Linked DNA regions of Drosophila melanogaster. The protein of the gene in region 1 interacts with the protein of each later gene in a pairwise test. Each region holds a gene or a part of one and is shown on either strand. Other genes may lie near its edges.

Region 1 (5,780 bases):
CAAAAAAAAAGCGACTGAATGGAACTATCAGAGCAGAGCATAAACATATAGAAATGCCGAACCAGCTCACGCATTAGACATGCTCACCCATTATTATACATACATACGGACAGACATACGGACAGACGCAATTGACTAAGAGGCCTGCGCGTGTTGGACGCACGGACGGATAAACAGACAGTCAGTCTGACATCGAACATCTGAAGACTTCGAATTCGATAGTGATCCGTAGTCTAGGGCTCTTCACAGCCTCTCGCTTATTGATCTTCGATCCACACGAAGGCCGCCAGCGTGCAGATCGAAGTTGCACAAATGCCAGGACAAGGGGTCTGGATTGGGTATCCACCTGAAAGTGATTCTCTATCCAAATCCAAGTTGGGGCCAGTCCATCTATGCTGTTGCCATATAAGCATCAACAGCTAAACAAAAGTTTATGGCTATCTGCCCGCCTTATGATCTAAATGCGTTAATTATTAGGATGATACAATGCGATCGGAGCAGATAGCATAGATACAAAAATGGATAGACAGATAGATACATTGTGGTCAGCGGTCTCCAGTGGCTCGATCATTAGCATCTGAAAACCAGCGGCGCCTCTTTGAGCAATATTTCCTAATTTAGAACGTATGCTTTCCTACAGATCAGTATGCGATTTGCTAGACTGAGCAATTTATTAGTGACTTGGGGAGAGACTCCAGCTAGGAGTCGTTTATTTTGTTTAGTGGCTGTGTAAACATTGCTTACAGGGCATGATGATTAGTTCGGTGTAATACAAACAGCCTTCTTGGGGAACTCACTTGCCCCCTCCAGACTTTTAGGGCTATTTTGTAAGATGTTCTGTTATGGCTGCTGTTTTATGTTGGCATCATTTGGATGCCGGCTGTTTGTTGTTGATTACAAAACAAGCGTTTTGTTGCCGATTGCATGGTTGCATGGAGAACGCTCTTCCTGGAATCTTTTGAGATGTTTTTCATTAGTCCACCATTCTCGCAACATCCGTAGTATATGAATATGCATCATCGTATTTTGGAATATTTTTAAATTTTCGCCGACCTCCACGGCGGCGAAATGGATTTTTAATTTCCAACTATACTTTAATTTGGCAAACGAGCTCTGGTCTTTTAATTGATTAATTCTTATTGCTGCGTTTGATTAAAGAAAATATTTAGTATACAATAGGGTCAATTGCTACATATGGTAATTTGGCACAGAAGACATTTATGTGGAAGAGTTCTCGGCGTTCAAATAATGGAGCGAATGGCTACTATTTTTATTCACTGACGCGATCAGTAGATTGATCTTGACCCACATTGGATGGGCTGGGATCCGGCAGATGTCGCACACTCTATGCCCAAATGAGACAATATAAAGTATAAAGTATAAAGTATTGTTTATAATGATACCAATTTGAGACAAATCAGTTACACTTGCCTATCTAAACTATTACGATATGTTTGTTCAGCTTGTGTAGATTATTTAGATATATCTTTATATTTGTCGCATTTCTGAGTAAAGGCTGTCGTGTCAGTTTATTTACGTCAAAAAAAGAATTTTTTTTGATACTGATGAGCTAGTCATCATTGTACCATTCTCTGTGATCATCAACTTCCTTTTTTTCTTCCGAAATGACTTCTTCCGGAAGTGCACCACTGGTAATGCCCAGGGTCTTATCCTCTATTTCAAAAGAATTCGTATTCAAAGTTTTTAGTACTGCTCGGTGCGATTAGTAATGCATAGGCTAGTAAAATAAGTCATAAGTAAAAAGAGTTTTATTATTTACTCAAGTACATACTTACTCAAATTGGTTGGTATCACACAAGTGTGAACATGTTTACAAATTTTGATTACTTTTAAAAACTATTACTGAATAAAGCATGCAGCATAAGCCTATTTTTTTTTTTTTTAATATTTATATTATTTCATCCGAAAAGGCAGATACTCTAGATGCAAAGATTGTTACTATGCTAACACACCTTATCTTATCCGATGATAATTATGTCCACACACTTAATCCTCACATGTGCAAAAATATTGAGTAAGCAGAGGCGCACTTAAGAGAGCGTTCGAGTGCTCTTTTAAGCCGCGCTCGGCTCTCTTTTCGCCACAGCGCTCTCTGCGCAGAGAAGCCGGCTGTTCTGCGTACTGATATGATTCTGACGTATTTCTAATCTCTCTAAAACACTCCTTCGGAATCGAAATCCTAAGCCCATTCAGCAAACCCATATCCCTATACTCGTGCCTACATACGAGTATGTACATACATATGTACATATGTATGTATGTATGTTGTACAGCATATAGCTGCGAGAGAACCGCTTTTAGCTTTCGGAGCGATATATGTTCGCGATCTCAGATTGCTTGGCGGTACGGCGGAACGTCCGCTACCAACTGCTGTTCGGCGAGCAGTGTTCAGTCCGCAGCGGGAACTCAAGCGAGCCGAAACGAAACATCGCCAGATACAGATACAAATTCTCTGGTTCGCAGCATTGGTCTGGTCCATCGGCTCGTTCTCGTCCGTTTCATTTATTTGCGCGCGCGCGGTAGTATCAGACAATTGCTAAAGTTCCATTTGTAATATTAATCCAGTTGCGATTTCTAATTCGAATTTGAATACGTATTCATCCCAGTGCGCCAGTGTATTCCGTATCCTGACCAGCCATGTCGGCCAGATGGCGATAGCGATGCCGATGCCAAACGATCGGCGTGTTCTTGTGAACTCTGACATGGTGCTCAGTTGTGGGACAACCTTCGCCACCGAAAAGTTTGCAAAAATAGCCGCTGGCCGAAAGCGAAAAGAAAGCCAGCAACTCAGAATGCCAACGGTGGCCAAGTTAATGGTGCAGCTCGAAAGTGAATGCATTCGGCGCGATGTGTGAAGTTCAAGCTTAACATTGGCCAAAACCCAACCGCAACTGCGAATAAATTCTGTGATTCGGCAAAAAGATTCATCATGAGATCGTACAATGGCTCCAGTACTAAGTAGTTTATCTAGCTAATCGCAGCCATAAGTGTGAGTCGTTTTAATACCCACGAGCCGTAGTCTTTGCCTTTCTGTTCGTTCGTATTTTCGCATTTTTTGGCGGGTGCGGTGCCCACGGCAACGGAACGAGACTGTCGCATTTCAATTAACAAAATAAGCAAAAAGCCAAAGAGCCAAAGAGCCATAGAGCCAACATAAGTGTAAAGATACATATATCTACAAGATATACGTATAGCCGTATATACGCATACTGTGGATTTTGTTGCTCTTTCGCGCGCATTTTTGCACGTGCCATTTGGGATTTCGGATTTCTGAGATTGGAGATCGCTATCTTATCTGGTCATCGCCATGTCCATGCCGGATGCCGGTTCACTTAAATCGCCCGCCGGCGGCCAGGAGGTCGAGTGCCATCGCCTGCTGTCGGACCTGCCCGCCTTCGCGTATCCCAGCACCACACTGCGGTCCACAACTTCTGGTCACAGCACTGGCACGAATAGTACCACTGTCTGCGAATCTCCCGGTGCTCGGGATCGTACCTCCTTCGCGTGCTCCTCCTCTTGCGTATCATCCGCCTGCTCAGCCACCGCCTCCGATGACGACGAGGATGAGCGTGCCCTTGAGCGCTGTCTGCGTGGGACGACGGACGACCTTGGGGAGTCCGGCCTGCGGTATTCGCTGAAAGGACCACCGCCGGAGCTCTACTCGGCCAAGAAGGACTTCATCAGCAAGGGTCCGCTGCTGGGCAGACAGGTAGGTCCTAAATCCGAGCTCTACATAAGTATAAATATTTTTGGAGGCCTAGTCCGCCGCATCGAATTTCGTGGGCTGATCGAATTCGCAGACCGGGATTTTAACGATTTTTCATTTATTTGTGTTTGTATTCGTCTCTGTCTCTCTCTCTCTTTTTTTTCTACTTTATCGAAATCGGCTGGCCAAGCGAAAACCAAATTTAAGTTAATTTATTGCATTGATTCCACATCAATGTGTCGAGTTCTTTCCTTTCTTTTATAATTTCGGTTGATTTGCCGATATTTTGGTGTGCTCGTCTCGTTTTGTATGCCGCATTGTTTTATTTCGTTTCATTTCATTTCATTTCATTTTTTTTTTTGTTTTGTTGCTTTTGCCGCCACTCTGGCTCTCTATTCGATTTTGATTAAATACCACTGGCGACACAAAGAAAGCGACAACCAAAGCGTTGACCACCGCATTTGAATTCACACGCCTCACTGGCCACGAAGCACCGCGCACGCGGCAGCGGAAATGTGAATCTGGATCCCAAGTTGGATCCACGATAGGATTCTCGGCAACCTCACCGTTCGACAGCTTCAAACAGACTGAAGATGGCAACGTGTTCGAAGCACTTCGATCCAAATGCGCCAGAGCGCCTCCACGAAGTGCATTCATATATCAAGCAATCTGGTCATCAAACTATTCCTTTTGGTTTGGGTTTGCAGCTCCCACTTCTTTAGCTGACTCATAATCCATCCATTTGCGTCACACAGGGTCTGCTGATGTATGTCGGACGTGTGTTTCCGCCAGGTTGCCACTATCTTGCTCTAGCTCTGCAGCAACAATTTTCGGGAAAGCGAAAGATTCTGCAGCATCGGGAGCACATGTCCCACAGGAGATAAGAACATAAAAGATATCTAATAGAGATAAAGAACAAAGACGCCCCTGTCTGGATGTCACTGATATTCCATATTCCAGACAGGATTGGGTACGAACTTTTTTTTGCCCATTAGTGCGAGGCAGACGACGAATTAAGATGCAAATTTCGATAAACATTTTCAAGTTCGGTTTAAGGAAATGGTATTGCAGTTACACACGACCTGGGTGGAAACAGCACATAACTACGATTTACAGAGCTCAACAAGGTGTGAAAAGCGTTTGTTTCGGGACGTGACAACAACGTGAATGGAAACATGCCTAAATCACGGCTTACTGGCTAACTGGCAAGCTGGCTAACTGGCTAACTGGCTAGCTGGCTTACAGGCCATTAGAATTTTATCAACGTCCGCCTGGCGGGCAATGTAAAATGTGAAAAACGACACGATCCCCCGGTCCATGAATACATAATAATGCATAATAATGTTGGGTGCGCGAGTGGTGAAGTCTGTAGGCCCAACTGCCACTGATAACGGGCCATGTGTGGCAACGTAACCCCCTCGGGATCGAATGGGAATAGGATGTACTGTCTATTTGGGTTGTATGTATAAACTCGTATGCACATCGCTTGGCATTTTAGAAGCACATGAGTAATTGTGACATATTCAGTGCGGTGCGACTCGATTCACTCGCTGTTGTGAATGTTTCGAAAATAGATTTTCTAGTTTTTCGCGTGGCGCCTAGAATCTGAGAAGTCGGGAAATACATGCATGTAAGTAAGGCTGCGCCGTCCAATTTGTATTTCGACAATAAAATTTTCACAATGTGTAGAATTTGAATATTTATTTTCTTGCTTTTTGTTTCTGTTTCGCGTTTTGTCTTTTTTTTTTATTTATTTATTTAGTTTTTTTTTTTGAGTCGTACGTCGTCGCTTTGCGCGTGTTTCTCTGTTCTCTTTTTTCAATTTATTTCGTCTACTTTAAATAAAAACAAAAAAATATGCTAGTTTCGGAAAACCGAAACTTATACACCCTTGCAGTAATTATTTGCAGAGTTTGAACAAATTAAAATCGAATGTCAAATCACAAATTTGGTGTGTACCGAATTAGAACGCATTATGATTAAAAAACAACTAAGCTGGGATTAGTTTTTCATTGATTTGCTAGACATTTTATATGATATGATAAGGTTGTCC
Region 2 (5,817 bases), on another chromosome or scaffold:
GTTTAAGCGTTGACAGAGCGTGAAATTTGAAGAGATTGTCCTCTGATTGATGGTGTGTGTGCGCGGCGGTTAGGGGCGGGCCGGTATGAGGCGGAGGCACGCCCCATTCGGATAACACCAATGAAATATAAGGCCACTCTGCAATAATAGAGTGTGCCGCACAACTGAGCAGTCGGTGGGGACAGGCGGGGCTAATAATGGTAATGGTAATGGTGGCACTCGTCCAGCGATGCCCCAGCTGAAATCCAACAAATTGCATCAAGTGGTTGCTGGGAAGAATGTGTGCTCGATTCCCGGCCATTTACGGTTGGGCAAATCGATTTAGACACTTTGAAAAACAATTTTGATCTCTGGTCAATGTTTGATTAGCTCGAATCAAGTTCAACTTAAGCTTAAGTACTGCGCACACACTAAAATAAATTTGGTTATTCCGTAATTGTATATAAATATTTTACACGCTAAATGCTGACTATTCTGTTGATTGATGCAATAGTAAATGCTTTAGAATGCTGACTATTCTGTTGACTGTTGCAATAGTAAATGCTTTAGAAATAGCATGTCATCAGGAGAGATACTCCATCTCACATATGAGCTTTTTCATTAATTTAGATAAGGGTAATGTTATTATGTTGGCTGTGAAAAGATAAATACTGTGGTGTCCAGATAAAATGAAACCGCTCTCTTAAATGGAAAGTATAAAGTCTGACATCAACTAAAAAAAAAAAACAATAGTCCCGTGCCTCTGTTTTATTCCACTAAAATAATGTTTGCACAAGACTAAACTCCATCCAATTGCAAAGCACATATTTACGTAAAAAATGTATGTGCATTAAAACCTCTGAAATGCGGAGCTTTCAGCAGAAATATATATATTTTCAATTAAATTATAGTATTTTTATACTTTTACAGCGGTTTAATTATTATTTTTGCACGACAGAAAACACTTTTCAGGCATAGCTCATGAAATGAATGGTAAATTACTTTAATGCTTTATCATAATATAAATTGTATTTTAAGAGTAGTATCATTAAATGGGTTGGTTTATTTATAGCGAACTACAATTACATTTATTTTGCATTTCAATTCACAAGAAAGATATGAATGTCATGATTAAAGTCCTGTTTTTATTTTCCTTTGTTCGGTGTCCAAATCAGGAATGATGAAATAATTGCTGTGCAGAAGGCGGCTCATTGAGTTACGGAGAATTGATATCGAGATTTAATAAAGCGGATAATTCGTGGCAGGCCGTGTCCACAAAGTGGATGGATTGGCCATTTGCCAGCCATCAAGGATGGAGGAGGATGGGGCACCCCGATGTTGGTTCTTGACAAATGAATGTCGAGCATGACGGCAACATTTTAAAATGTTTCGCTTCTCGTTCTCGTTTTGTTTGTACTCCACGTCGAGCTTTTCATTCAACTTACACGTACGTCGATGTGTGAGTACGTGTCTGCTCCGGGAAAACAGAGGAAAGAAACTTGTGCACTCAGCTGGGAAATGCCTTAAATTTAAGAGAAAGCATTCCGTTTCAGCTAAGGAAACTTTTGGAGCTAAAAACTTAGAATTTAAAGAAAAGTTCCCCAAAATCGCTGCTCATTAATTGTGCAGCTCATTAAAAAATCACTTACCGTTTGTCCATTGCAGTTATCCATTCCATCGCCATGTTGAATTTTTATTTAAATCTCCCTCGCTCGATTAGTTTCGCCGTTTGACACAAGTTATGATACAAGTTATGAACAGCACATTCCACAAACACCAAACCAAATAGTTGCCCCAACTTTGAGCAGAGCACATAAATCGAGGCGGAGCGGCTCCAAAGTGGTGCAAATTAATTGCCCGTTGCGGCCCAGGAAAGCGAAATCAAAATACCGAGTAATGGCGGCGCTCGCACCCAGTTTGCAGTCACCTCAATCCGCGATGTGGCCGTCAATCTGCGATTCCCTTTGAATACGACATGCCAGGTGGCTCGGCCCAGCGAGGCACTCGAAATCCGCTTTTGGGAGCGTTGGAGCGAGCTCCTTTCGAGTTGGAGCCAGGGGTAAGTGGACGTAGCTCGTTGATTAGGCGAAAGTTTGGAAATGGATTTCAGTTTGAGCTCCCGTTTGGCTGGCGACGAGGATTTCGATACCGAGCAGCTGCAAAGTTAAATTGGGCGAATGTGAGTCTAAATTCACTATACAGCAGTCGTAAGTGTAAGCTAGCCTTGGGATGTCGGACTCTAATATAATTTATATAAAATGCCAGCAGCAGATGTAAAAGTTTCCCTCTTTCCGATTTTTTCAGCCACATAACTAATGTGAATTGCTATTGTTGGACTTGCCAAAAAGGGTTTTCCCAACTGCTGATAGCTGCCCAGAAGGCCCCACTGCGTCAGTGTGTGTGTGCTTGTGTGTGCTTGTGGGTATCTGTGTCGCCAACAAAAGCAAATGTTATGAATAAGCTTTGATGCCTGCTCGGCCGGCGAGGGGGTGTTGTGGTGCAGGAGAGCGGTGAGGGCGGAGCACCAACAAACTGTTGGCGCACAAATCTAACAATAGATTTCCAGATAACAATAGATTACTCCACACACACGGCGTATACTTAATGCGCTGTCAATGGGCATTCTAATTTCCCAGTATGCCCAAATCCAGATCGTATGGCATGCGAAGGCACGATCTAACCGCGAATTCGTTACCGAACTCCATGTTTACCCATGCGCTGCACTATCTGTATCTGTACCGCAAACGAATGCGTATTTTGTTCTGCGTCAATGGGAAAAAACATAATTTATACCACCCCATCAGAAGTGCAGTGGCTTTCGTCAGCGAAATGGAACTGCAGGCGGAACAAGTGTTCGAGTGACGGCTCAAAAGGAAAGACATCGCGAAGGACCATCAGCTCGCATATGAATAATTAAGTATTCGCCATCGTGGCCAGCCCGCGAAGGCGCCCGAATGTATGCCACGTTTTCTGACGTGTCGTTCGCTCGCTGGCTGGCTCCACGTACATAAATGGCGACAAAAGTCCCGGGGGCGATAAGACTGATATTGGCGATATTCCGAGTGGACGACTCGATAAGCGGCCACTTTCGAACGAGTTGTCCATCCTGCCAGCAAATGCAATTAGTGTCCGGAGTGGCGGTTAGGGAATTGAATTGAACAAGCTTTGAAATCGCCCTGGAAACAGATGTTCCATGTAATTTCCACTTTAGGGTTTCAAACTTTGTTTTAATTAAGCAACCGAGTGAAAGCAAAACTTTGAACCACAATAGATGTGATTTAACTGCCCACTGCAGCCGTTGCCAAACGGAAAACTTAGCCATTTAGCTTGGTCATGTGGCGAAGAAACATCATGAATCGAATACTCACGCATCCTCTGAACGGAGAAAAGGATCAGAAGATGCAAGAGTAACAGAGATCCCGCAGCAGAATTCGATATTTTAAAGTCCTTCTTGTTGGCAAACACTTTTTGGCACGGAAAATGAACTTTTAGTTTCGAACCCACGCGACATACCGAAATCCAGCGAATACCTGAAATCGAACCGACTTCAAACGAATATTTAAATGAACCACTTGCTAACGGCTTTCAAGCACTTGGTATATACAGTTCTTGGGCAAACATTTCAGTTCTCGACCTCCGCTGAAGCGCTATCGCGTCCGATTCATTTGGTAGTCGCGTCGCAACTGCTCGGCCGCCTTCCATTTTCCGACTTCCGAGCGGCGCTCTTCACCACGCTCCTGTCCTGCGCCTCGCAGGTGGGTTTCCCGGCGGAGATTGGGGGTCGTGGTGGGTTGTTGGAAGTTACTCATTGCCGATGACTGCAGTGTTGACGGCTGCGGTGCGGTACTTTTGGCCTTGTTCCGCCTTCCCGCCGTCCCTTTCCGTCACTCACATATTTTGGCGCGTTTTTTAGCAACAAGTTTGACAAATCTTCGGCACAGTGGGCTTACATCCAAATCGGTGTGGTCAAAATCCAAATAAAATTTGGCACACGAAAAAACGTAATTTCAAAGTAGTTCTAATTAAATACAGTTTCTTTGCTTATAGTGTTTGAAATTATACTACTTTTGTTATAATATTTATTATAATTTGAATCCCATTATTTTGTGATATGAATGGATTTCTACTATTCTTTTACGATTTTAAACTTAATATTAATTTAATTTAAATATTATTCTTATTCATTTACTGCCTACACTTATATACGATAATCAGCAAAGAGATACAATTTGTATAAAGATGGCTATAATGATATAGCATTTAACATATAAATTTATGTTCTTGTTTGATTTATTTGTTTTACTTACTTGCTTATTGCTTATTAGTATAGATTGTCTTAAGTCCTCACATGATTAGTGAGAGGTTTGGTTTTATCTTTTATATGTTAATTGCGCTGTTATGTTACTGTTACTGCATTGTATGGATTCATCGCTTCTAAATAAATAAATATAAAAAAAAAAAAAATATAGATTGTGTATTGGGCTTTAAAGATGAAAAGTTAATCGAATCTGATATGTTGTATTACGAATAATATTGCTTGCCTAGTCTACTTGAAATAACAATTTGTTTTGACTCTATTCACTCGAATGTTTAGCAACATTTGCTGCTCGCTCTCCTATTCTACGTGCTCCACAACAAACTGTTGAGCGTTATTTTGGTGAGTCGTCGCAGTTGACCAGCTCTTCAACAGGCACTTGTCCGTCCGCTCGGCCGTCGGGCGAACAGCGGACAACCCCGCACCGCGCCCCGGGCGGAACTGCCTCACACCCTCGCCTGAAAGTGCACATAAAATGGAATCGCAATGCGAAACAATCAACATGTCAATTAAATAATGCACACCAGCAGCGGACACGAAACAACGGACAGAATTTACGGAGCGAGTGCGTGAACACCCGGACTTTTGGTCACTTGGACACTTGGACATTCACTGACGGCTTGTCACATTCAGCTAATGAATCAACGGCGATTCAGTCGTGTTCGCTCCTGAAAAGGTGCGAAAATGCAAAGCTTTCCTTTTGTTTTCCACCTTTCCCAGAGCCGCTGTTGTTGTGGTCGCCACCACAATATTTACGGCACTCTCGAGTGCCTTTATTTCCGCATGAATCATTCCCAGTTTCGGTTCCAGCTCCACAGGCTGCCCCAGCGCATATAAATTCTTGGCTTTTTCCCCCAGCTGTTAATGCACAGAAAGAAAAATAGTTAAGGTGGATCGTAGTCTGGTATTCCTAGATAGGTATTTCATTATACACAAACGGGTGTAGCATAGGATAAGTGCAAAGATGAATTACTTCTACTAATATAATTAGACATAATTAACAATAACGGTATAGCACTAAATAGAACTGACGTAATAAAAGTGGAAGACTACTTTCCCTGTGTTGCAGGGTTTTTTTTTTTTTTTGGTTTTTCATGGGGTCTGCCTGTCGCATTTTTTATGAGCCTCCCCCATGTTGACAGGACCACCATAGACATTTTTTCGGGCTTGCCAATGCGGAATGAAATTCCAAGAATTTAACGGCCGCTTTGCCTGCTGAATATGTCATCACATGGCGTTGAATCCTGCTCCACCAGACACAACACAACGACCCGGCGGTAATTATGATAAATGCGATCTTAATAAACTCGGCTGGTGGGCACGGCTGGCTTTGAAGGCCTTCATGGCCAAGTGCGGGCTCATCATGGCCGGTCCTAATGCATTTTCTTTTCATCATCAACGCATGTGGCACCTGGTCTAATGGCGCTTCCTGCCACCCTGCCTGTGGCCCATTAGCAGAAAATGCTGTTGTACATTGATCGACTCGTCGTCAGCTAGTCGTTGTTGTCGAAGTCCTTGTCCAG
Region 3 (4,370 bases), on another chromosome or scaffold:
CTGCCTTTAACTATGTGGCTGACAGCGAGGAGCGGACTACAATGGAATCGCTTAACTGCATCATCATCGATGTAGGCTACAGTTTCACCCACGTTGTTCCTTTTGTGCTGGGACGGCGCGTTCTCCAAGGCATACGACGCATCGACATGGGCGGGAAGGCGCTGACCAACCAGCTAAAGGAGCTAATCTCTTATCGCCACCTAAACGTCATGGACGAGAGTCATGTAGTTAACCAGATCAAGGAAGATGTCTGCTTTGTGGCGGAGGACTTCAAGCAGGCGATGCAGGTGCATTATTCGGAGGAGAAGCGACGCGAAGTCACAGTTGATTATGTCCTTCCAGACTTCACCACCGTCAAACGGGGCTATGTTCGTGTTCCCGGAAAGCCGCGCGAGGATGAGGAGCAACAGCAAATGGTGTCGCTGTGCAATGAACGTTTCACCGTGCCCGAGCTGCTCTTCAATCCCTCGGACATTGGTGTGCAACAGGTGGGCATTCCGGAAGCGGTGGCCGATTGTCTGAAGGCTTGCCCCTGGGAAGCGCACCGCGAACTCCTGCTCAACATCCTTATTGTGGGCGGCAGTGCCCAGTTTCCGGGATTTCTGCCGCGCCTAAAGCGCGATTTACGTGCCCTGGTGCCCGACGATCTTGAAGTGTCACTCATCTGTCCCGAGGATCCGGTGCGGTACGCGTGGTACGGCGGCAAGGAGGTTGCGACCAGCCCCAACTTTGAAGAGTTTGTTTACACGCAAGACGACTACGAGGAGTACGGTTTCCAGGGTATCAATCAGCGGTAACATGCACGTAGTCGAAGTATTTTTTCAATAATAAACTTGATTTGCACATGGGTTTTCTAGAACATTCCTTGTCTATATATTGAACTAGGGCTAAAGAGGACAAACTGCCAGCCTGCGGCAAGGAAGCGGGTGCGTCACTTACCTAGCGCTACAACTAAAATTTAACTATAGAACACAACTTAATATTTAGAATTCGTTTGCGAAGTAAAATTTACAAAGGATGCGGTGCTTTTGCCAACAACGTAATGAGATACAAGGTCGGGCCGCGTACTGCATTTAACTTAGTTAATTTAGGTCTGTCTGCGAGGCGGGTGCCGGCGGATCTCCTCCGGATCTCCATCGGTTTACATGCTGAACGATTCGCCGCAGCCGCATGTGCCCTTAATGTTCGGATTGTTAAACACGAACTCGCTGGACAGCTTCGATTCCACAAAGTCCATCTCGGTACCTGCAAGCGAATTATACTCTGTATTAGCTGGCTTGTCCAATGCTATGCTAAGCTGGTATGAACTTACCCAGCAGCGACAACTGCGCTTTCTTGTCGATGAAGACCTTGACGCCATCCTGGACCACCTCCTCATCCAACTTGTCTGCTGGCAAAAATCGACACAGAACGCAGCATTAGATCTCCACCGAACAACATTCTGTCCAGAGTGGCTTACCTTTTTGGCTGGCATAGTCCAGCGTGTAGGACAGACCATTGCATCCTCGCTGCCGTACGCCCACCTTTAGGCCAACCTGTGGCAGAAACAACATCGAATTTCTGTCATTAACTGTGTGGCTAATTTATAGGCAGCCTTGTTTATTGACCAAAGACAAAGAACTCGGTATTCTAATAAGTCTGTCTCAATTCAAAGAATTTAATCACTTAAAAACTAAATGATTAACAACAAGATAAACATGCTCATCAAAATTTGGTCGGGTCAAAATTTGGAAAATCTAGCTGATTAACGCAGGCCGAATTAGTTAGCATGGCTTATATTTATAGCTAATAATTTGCGCTAAAATATATGACTGACTGAGGAAAAAGCCTATTGTCAAATATAATGCTTGAAGAAGCCCTCTTGCGAACTTCCTATACTCCATGCAACCAGTGCTAAAACTTAAATAACATGCACGGGAACCTTTAAAGAGCTAGGCGAGATTATCAAGATCTCAATCGTGGAAGGCGATAGAATGCCCACTAAAGTGTAGCCTTGGTTCGATGACAACTTGTCAGCAGTCACTCACCATGTCCGGCTTGTCCTGCAGAAGCGTCTTGATGCGTAGCACCGCCGCGGGTGTCTGAAAAGGATTGGGGGAGATCAGAATCATCAGATCGAAGGGGACTGTTACTTCATCAGCAGCAGCATGCGCCGATTTCACCAGGTTTTGGTTTCCTTACCAGAGTCAGAGCGGCCCGCGTCGGGATTAACTTCCGGCCTTTCACCGCCCGCACTGTCGCCGTTGCCACCACACGTGTCGCCATCGGTTCGTGCCCTTTATATAATTTGTTTGACTCGAGAATTTCCACAAAAAAAATTCGAAAATATGAGTGCTTACTACCAGATGGTCGATAGTACTGTCGATAGTATCACGTGAGATGGCATTAACAGATGTCATCGATTGGCAGTGTCACGGGATAGCGGAGAAACGGTTACTACCTGTTTGAAAAATAAGTTATTTTTAAGCCCCAGAGTCCAGGTGGACTTCATTAATAACTTAACTTAATATTTCACAGTAGAATTTATATTAACAATTGGTTTTAATGTCTGTGAGTTACAGCAAATTTTATCAGCACCAGTGACAGCTATAGTAACTTTTTAAAATCGTGACTCGCGACTAGTTTTGAAATGAAAGGAGGTGCCATCTCTAAGTTTAAATGAATTTCACACTTTTCGATTGAGTTAAATAATATCAACAAAATCGAGGATATGTCCGCCCTAAAAAAATTTTATAAAATCAGCGCAGGTGTGAGAAGAGGCGCACTACTTACCAGTTCCCGAAGAACACAAATTGATGCTTTAAATAGTCCACAATTGCAGTTGCAAGTGCATCACTTTGCAACCAAAACACAAACAGCTGTTTTTAGCAGCAGCAACAACTACACGTGCATTTGCCGCAGTATACACTGCAGTAAGCCAGTGGTATGTTTGGAAATCAGTTGTAAATACAAATAAACTACCCAATTGATATTAAATAATGTTATTTACATTTGTAATTTAAAATATTATAAATGGAATGCAATATTTAAAATTATGTATAACAAAAAAGTTAAGTATAATTATTTTGCTCTGCTCCCAGGACGATGCGGACAAGACGGTGGCCACGAATAGCATTCCTCTGGCGAAACTGGAGGCCAAGATGCAGCTGATCTACACCTGCAAGGTGTGCCAGACCCGGAACATGAAGACCATTTCGAAGCTGGCATACCAACGCGGCGTTGTTATCGTGACCTGCGAGGGCTGCTCCAATCACCACCTGATCGCCGACAATCTGAACTGGTTCACAGATCTGGACGGCAAGCGCAACATCGAGGAGATCCTGGCCGAGAAGGGCGAGAAGGTGGTTCGCCTGACCGATGGCAACTGCGAGTTTTTGCCGAAACATGATTAAACTCGTAGTGTAGTTAAGTGAAAACGAATGCCACTTTATTTAGCAGCTCCAGCAAATGTGTCCAGGAATTGGGGGGTAGTTGGGCACGCAGCTGCTGGGCGAACTGCCGGCGACATATGGATCCGGTGGCCAGCATCAGGTAGGTTATGTATGTGGCCTCGTTCACGGGCAGCTGCGAGACAGCCGTGACTGGTGCATCAGCGGTCAATTGCATCTCATCCAAGTCTAGGTAGGGCAGGTGGCGATTCCAATGGTCGATTAGGTAGGCAATAAGGCTGCCGGCCAGACGTACATGCTCCATACTGGCCCAGAATCTCATCTCATTGGCGGATTGCGATACGAACAGAAAGATATTGTGCAGGAAGCCGGTGCAAGCGGTAGATCCGCCCTCCGATAAAGTGTCACAGATCATGTGGCGCATTAGGTAGCAATCCTTGTGAATTTCGCTGTCCTTTGGCTCCCTAAAAAGCTGCAGCCACACCTGGTACTCAATCAGCTCCATGGAGCGCTTTATTGCGGTCTGCATGTCCTCAAGGCTGGATAAGCGGCCAATCCGCTTGACTAGCCGTCGCATCTGCTGAAGATCGGGATTGATAAAATCGCTGGAAGAAAGCGCATCCGATTGGCGTATTGCCGACCAGTCCAAATCACCGATCTCACTCCACGCAGGCTGAATCTCGGCCAACGTTCGATGCGAAAGATGAAGCAGTGGTGCATGAGTTTCTCCCTTTCGTGTGTTCACGATGGTGGTACACAGCTCACGAATACACTTCCGTCGATCCACCAATGCAGAGCAGCTAGCGAAGAAGCCACGGCAATCGCAGCGTTCGGCCAGCGATTGCCCGAAGCGATCATAGCACTCGAACAGGTACAGGTGAGCCTTTAGCAGGGATTCCACAACGGATTGGCTCAGTCGCAGATGGCGGTGCTCGGAGTGCATCTCCTCCTGACAATCGTGCAGCCATGTGAGTAGCTTGA
Region 4 (5,809 bases), on another chromosome or scaffold:
AAAACTACTGAAAGCCACCGAAGACGAGACCGTTGACTTTATCATGCTGAATCTCCGAAAAAATCCTGACACCGGCGCGTAAGTTTGCCACATATGTATTTGGCCTTTTTTGGGAACCGCTTTAAAATGAGATAATCTTCCTATAGTTTCTCTTGGGCCTGCAATGCCCATGTTCTTCGTGAATTCCTCACCCGCTTCGACAAATATCAGAGTAATTTGGAGGAACTGCCGCCGTACACGGGACCCACTACGTTCATTTGCGGCACGCGATCACCTTACATGAGGTAACTTGGATCCCGAGGTGCTAAGTAAACTAAACTAATTGAATCTTTTTGCCATCTTTATTAGACGCGAGCAATGGCCACAGATACAGAAAATGTTTCCCAATTCTGAGATCCACTGGCTGGATGCCGGACATTTAGTGCACTTTGAAAAGCCGCAGGAGTTTCTAACAATAGTCAGCGAGTTCCTGAATAGAACTGAGTAGACCAAATTTTGATATTTTAACCAAATGTACAAAGAAGTCAATCGCGTAGATCGACTTTAGCTAAATTGGAAAGTGAACGCTTTGTTTTTCTTGGGAACGGGAATTCAAATTAATTTCACTTCAGAACTCGAGAAGACATTCTTCAACGATCTACGCAGATCTTCAAGAATCTTCACCGAAAAGAGCGGGATAGCAATATATATATTTTTTTTTTTGATATAAGCGTTCTGAACTTGATGATTTTTCAGAATATAATAAATTTCTTAAGCACCTTTAGTGCACGAAATGCCCTCGATTTAACCCCCTTAGAAAAGTTTCAATTTATAGTGGTGTATGTACATTTAAAATGTAATTTAATTTATCATTCTTGTTCGGCGTGTAATCGTTAGTGTTTTTTTTTTTTTGGATTTCCAGTTACGTTCGTCTTTTTCCATTTGGTTTTTGTTTAAAAAATATACATACACAGACACGAAAAAAATGCCATGAAGAAGCTGATAGATTTCGTATGATTTCGTATGCTGCATACAAAAATTGACGGCAAATGGATTTTCCTCAATTTTTTTTTTTTGAAAATTTCCAATTCGCTTCTCATAAGTTCTGTGTGTGCGTGTGTGTATACGTACGTATTTTATATATATGTATTTGTTGTTTCTTGTTGGGTGTGTGTGTGGAGTGTCCTTACTTATTAGGATTAAATAAGTGTGTACAAATACATATATAAATCAAGGGAAATCACATAGCACTTAAAATTATATAGTCAAAGTGGAAATCATTGATAAATGAACACAATCCGCGTGCTTCAGTGTGTTGTTGTTGTGTTTGTGTGTTAGTTTCCGTTTGCAGGAGATCATATCTTGATGCTAAATACATCAAACAGGAATGGTGGGTAAAACTTTGGTGTGCTAAGGCTAAAATGGCTGTGATAATATTCCTCGATTCGATTCGATGTGTTTGTGAGTGTGATTGTTGACATTGAGTGGGTGTTTCGTGTGTGTGTGTGTGTGACAAGTCATTGATTTTGTCTCACAGCTTCTGTAGTTTCTAGTTCTTTAGTTATTAGTTTTGCTCTAGTTGCAGTTCCATTATAGTTGAGTTTCTAGACTATATTGCCGCCATCGTAGGCGTAGTCGGCTTTGTTGTGCATGACGAGTCGGTTTCCCACAAAGTAAAAGCTGTCCGAGCGCGTCTCAAAGGGGCTCGATATCATCTCAGCAACTAAAAAAAAATGGAAAACGAACGAACATATTTATGTGAATTGCATTTCATTAATAAGTCCACATCCTACAAACCGATAACAAAAAATAAAAACCATGATAGCTGCTCGCAATCTGACCAATAGAAGCCTCATCTCACAGGCGCAAATCGTAAACGACCTTGACCCACAAACCCCTTCAACTTTTGGCAGCAACTTTCAATTGCGTGTCATGCTGGCTGGGATTATGTAAAAATTGCTCACCTAGGTCGGGTGGAAGGTTAGGAAACTCGTAGATGTGCTCAACCGTATTCTTCGAAAATGGAAAGCAAAAGCCGAACTCAAAGTCAAACGTCTTTAGCAGGCGATCGCGGAAGAAGTGGCGTTCGATCATACGAAAATTATTAAGCGGCTGGCTGCCCACAGTGAATTCCACACTGCAAATAAGGGAAACTTACAAATTGAGAGGCATTTAAAACAAATGCAAATACTGTATAACCTACGTGGCTCCCACTGTTTTGAGGTTGAGAAATGCCGGTGTGAACTGATAGCGCACATAGCGTCCGGCATTTGGATCGGCAGTGTCATCCAGTGACAATTTCTCGGCAGCCGCCAGCATGGTTTCATCCGAGGACAGTCCTTCCGGATATTGTTCACTCGGCGGTTTGGCGATCTCGAAGAGCACAGCGCCGCTCTCCAGGTCGCGAATCTTGAACCGCGTGAAATCAATCTCGAACACATTTGCATTGGCGGAGCAGAGATAGTCGTCCGTGATCTTGGTCAGATGGAGCACCTCGTCGGGAGTCACGCTGGAAGACTCCGCAGGCCGTTTGGCATCACCGGAGGCACCAGCGCCCGCTGCTGCAGCTCCCGACGATCCTCCACTGCCGCCGTTGGCCTCCACTCCACTGTTCGAAGAAGAGGATCCTGCGGCCGCGGAGGAAGACGTTGTCACTGCGCCTGCACCGGAGGATTGCACCGGATTTAGTTGCTTACCCACCACGCTCATTGTGCACGGAATGAATCTGGTGGTATTATTTGTCTATAGTCTGCGTTTCGGATTTCTCAAGCTGAACAGCTTTTTTAAGGCTCCTGGCTGGATGGCTGCTGCAGTGGTATCCTTTGATTTGAAGAAGCTACTCCGCTGTCTCACTCTGCGAATAGAAAGGAATAGGCATTGGTTATTAGGGAGTAAATAATAAAATATAGCACAAATACTTTTGAATTTCTATTACTTCAAACTAAACTGAATAATGAAATATCACATTTTTTTTTTAACATAGCAAAAAAAAAAAAAAGAAGTCATAGTTGTTAAGTTACTCACCAACACAAACACACACAAGTGTAGAGTTGTCATAAATTGTGCCAGGATTTTCTGGTGGAAATATAAGGCTTCGTCTCCGCTACCCTATTATCCTTTCGCTTTCCGCTCCTCACTATTAATTTTTGCCAAATATGAATAGTTATTTGGCGAAAAGCACAAAAATAAGTTAAGTATAAGGTATATAAGTTAAAATAAATTCAACATAAATGCAAACACTACTTACCCACACGAATTCAGGTTGCAAGTGTTGCCATAACATTTAGCTGTCAGCGACAACAACGTCCACGACCATTGCAACAACAGCAACAACAACAACAACACCGAACCGACGACGACAGCAACAAATGAAATTCGTTTGAAAATCACCAGCAACAGCAGCAACAACAACAACAACAACAACAAATGACCCAATTTCTGAAAAAGCTGCGCTCTCCTTTTTCCTTTTTTTTTCCTTTGTGTTTGTTTTTCCCTTTTCGGTTCGCGTCCTTTATGCGAATGTATGTGTGTGTGTGTGTGTTTTTATATGTTTATGTATGCGCAGGGATTCATTTATTAATTTGGTTTTAGTTGCTGTTGGCACTGCCCGAAAATCAATTAGATCAATTTGACCGGCAATGCTGCTGGTGTTGTTGTTGTCGTCCGCAAAAGCAACTTAACGCACTTAAACGCTAAACATTGCACCTTTTTTGCCCACTTTTTTTGCACTACTCAGCAATCGATAGATTATCGATGATGCATTACAGGAAATCGGTGAGACCGTTCGCGCATGGGGAAAAACTTACGACCAACGTTGCCACATACTCGCAAAAAAACATTTCTGCGTTCTAGCAGGGGTCACACTGTTGGCGCAATATTCAAAATATTCTACATTTTACATCTAGAAAAAAGGCTATTCAGATTTTTAACATTATTTATTGTATAACCGAAAGTAAGCGAACGTTTGCAGAAAGCTTAATCGGAAATAATGAGTATAGACAAGTATAAGTATAGATTTTCACATCTTAAGCTTAAATTGAAAACCCAAACTAAAAAATAAAATGCATATACCCCCGTCACTCGCCAGAGTAAACCACTATATACAAAGCAAATTCGAAAAGGAAACACTTTGGAAGCGTGCAAATGTGTTAAATGGCGTGTTGCGATCGCCTTCCCATGCATTTTTGTGGCCGACAATTAGTTAATATCCATGCAGCAGACTGCCGCTTGCTTCTCCCGCTTCTCAAGTGCGCCGTCGAGTGGTTTCCTTTCCTTTCGCTTCCCCTCCCTTCGCCTAGAATGCAGATAAGCCCGGCCTAAAACTCAAGTGTCCTCCTATCCACATCCCATCCCATTCCATATACAACGCACCCATACTCGGACCCATTTCGATTTCCATATTCAGACGCACGGGCGCCAATGCCAGATCATGTTTGTGCACTGCGAGAAATGCTGGCTATAATATTATTTAGATCTATTTCGATTTTTCACGCTTAGTGAGTCGCTATTTTAGTTTATAGATTTCATGTAAATAAAATAGCACTATGATATTAAGATAGTTTTTTTTTTCATATTCATACATAAATGTATTTTTTTCTTTCAGTGCGAGACGAAAGTACTTGAGTTCAATTCTAGCTCCTCCTTTTCACATTTTCTCTGCTTCTTGCCGCTGTTATTGTTGGCCTTAAGTGGGTATTTTAATATTCGCAGCCGGAGCCAAAGAAGTGTTAAGTTTCAGGGGCCACATATGCACTTATCCCCCGTCCACTGTCCACTGCCCCTGCCCCTGCCCCTGTTTTTTTTTCTCCATTGGCGTCCGCGTTTCCTGTATTTTTTTTTTGTAGTTTTTTTTTTTTTTTTTGTTTCTTACATTGGTATTGGTGTGTATCTGTGTGGCAGCACTGGGAACGTGTTCGGCTCTATCTTTAGTACAGTTTGACTGGAGATCTCCAAACTGACCCCCCCCCCCTTGCACCGCCGCCCCTCACTTGATTTATCCCCCAAAAACTCACATAAAATCTGCAGACAGCCGGGCACCTGAGGAATATGCCATCTGACAGGCCGAAAGGGTCGACAAAAGATCCAAGGAATTCGCGGGATAATCCATCTTTTGTATCAGCGCAAATGCCATAGGCAGGATTCGGTTTCATTTGAGTTAAATTTGCTGTTCCATGAGATTAAATATTTTCGAACCAATTTTTAATGACTGCAGCAGGTGGCCAATTTAAAAGTACTAACTCTATATTATTCAATTATATCAAAGGACACTTTTAAGGATAATTTTATTCGCCCAGAGGATGGTAACCCAAAAATACTTAACCTGTTTTCTTCAGAATTTATATACATACTAATGTATATAAGCTTTTCCAAATAGTAGCTACATCCGACTTATCACCGATCGATTTACATTTACATAGCAAATGAAACTTAACGTTCGATTGTTAGTTGATGAAATTTGTTTGAATATTTCTTTCTTTCACGGACGGACCATAGAACTTTTCGAGCCATAGAACTCAAGTACCCCCTCCTGTGTACTTCAATGCGTGTTTGTGTGTGCGTCTGTGTGCCTGGGTATCGAAAACAAACAGTAGAGCAGCAACAAAAACCAAAAATCGTGGGCGATAATATTCGTACTCGAATGGCCGAACAGGGGCGTGGCACAAAAAAAGGGGGCTAGAAATATTTTCCAAAGCTTGTTGCATCTAATAAATGGGATCTTATGGTCATAGTATTACGTTGCTCACATTTTATAAAGTACTGCATACTTTCTTGGGAAAATGTTACGTCTGCGCAGCCTGTTTTGTGTGCCTTTTTATAAGAAATCCCCTTC

The links.
Region 2: the proteins of AdamTS-A (region 1) and Epac interact in a two-hybrid assay, tested with the Drosophila melanogaster proteins (one large-scale study listed by BioGRID).
Region 3: the proteins of AdamTS-A (region 1) and MagR interact in a two-hybrid assay, tested with the Drosophila melanogaster proteins (one large-scale study listed by BioGRID).
Region 4: the proteins of AdamTS-A (region 1) and unc-119 interact in a two-hybrid assay, tested with the Drosophila melanogaster proteins (one large-scale study listed by BioGRID).

Annotation. Positions count from the first base shown.
Region 1 is NT_033777.3:15,472,837-15,478,616, reverse strand, and holds the start of AdamTS-A (ADAM metallopeptidase with thrombospondin type 1 motif A), read left to right. Parts: upstream 1-2,423; 5' UTR 2,424-3,328; coding exon 3,329-3,730; intron 3,731-5,780.
Region 2 is NT_033778.4:6,795,278-6,801,094, forward strand, and holds the start of Epac (exchange protein directly activated by cAMP), read right to left. Parts: upstream 3,665-5,817; 5' UTR 3,493-3,664; intron 2,136-3,492; 5' UTR 1,664-2,135; coding exon 1,629-1,663; intron 1-1,628.
Region 3 is NC_004354.4:15,732,264-15,736,633, reverse strand, and holds MagR (magnetic receptor), read right to left. Parts: upstream 2,365-4,370; 5' UTR 2,266-2,364; coding exon 2,182-2,265; intron 2,082-2,181; coding exon 2,028-2,081; intron 1,536-2,027; coding exon 1,460-1,535; intron 1,391-1,459; coding exon 1,313-1,390; intron 1,246-1,312; coding exon 1,142-1,245; 3' UTR 854-1,141; downstream 1-853. Other genes in the region: Arp6 (Actin-related protein 6), read left to right, coding at 1-797; CG12379 (uncharacterized protein), read left to right, coding at 2,711-2,923, 3,081-3,392; CG8191 (uncharacterized protein), read right to left, coding at 3,406-4,370. UniProt on the Drosophila melanogaster protein: Involved in the assembly of mitochondrial iron-sulfur proteins. Probably involved in the binding of an intermediate of Fe/S cluster assembly. Required for maintenance of circadian rhythms under constant darkness.
Region 4 is NC_004354.4:7,287,563-7,293,371, forward strand, and holds unc-119 (unc-119), read right to left. Parts: upstream 3,737-5,809; 5' UTR 3,231-3,736; exon of another isoform or gene 3,227-3,230; intron 3,116-3,226; 5' UTR 3,004-3,115; intron 2,834-3,003; 5' UTR 2,689-2,833; coding exon 2,183-2,688; intron 2,117-2,182; coding exon 1,944-2,116; intron 1,703-1,943; coding exon 1,584-1,702; 3' UTR 805-1,583; downstream 1-804. Other genes in the region: CG2059 (uncharacterized protein), read left to right, coding at 1-78, 147-284, 349-487. UniProt on the Drosophila melanogaster protein: Myristoyl-binding protein that acts as a cargo adapter: specifically binds the myristoyl moiety of a subset of N-terminally myristoylated proteins and is required for their localization.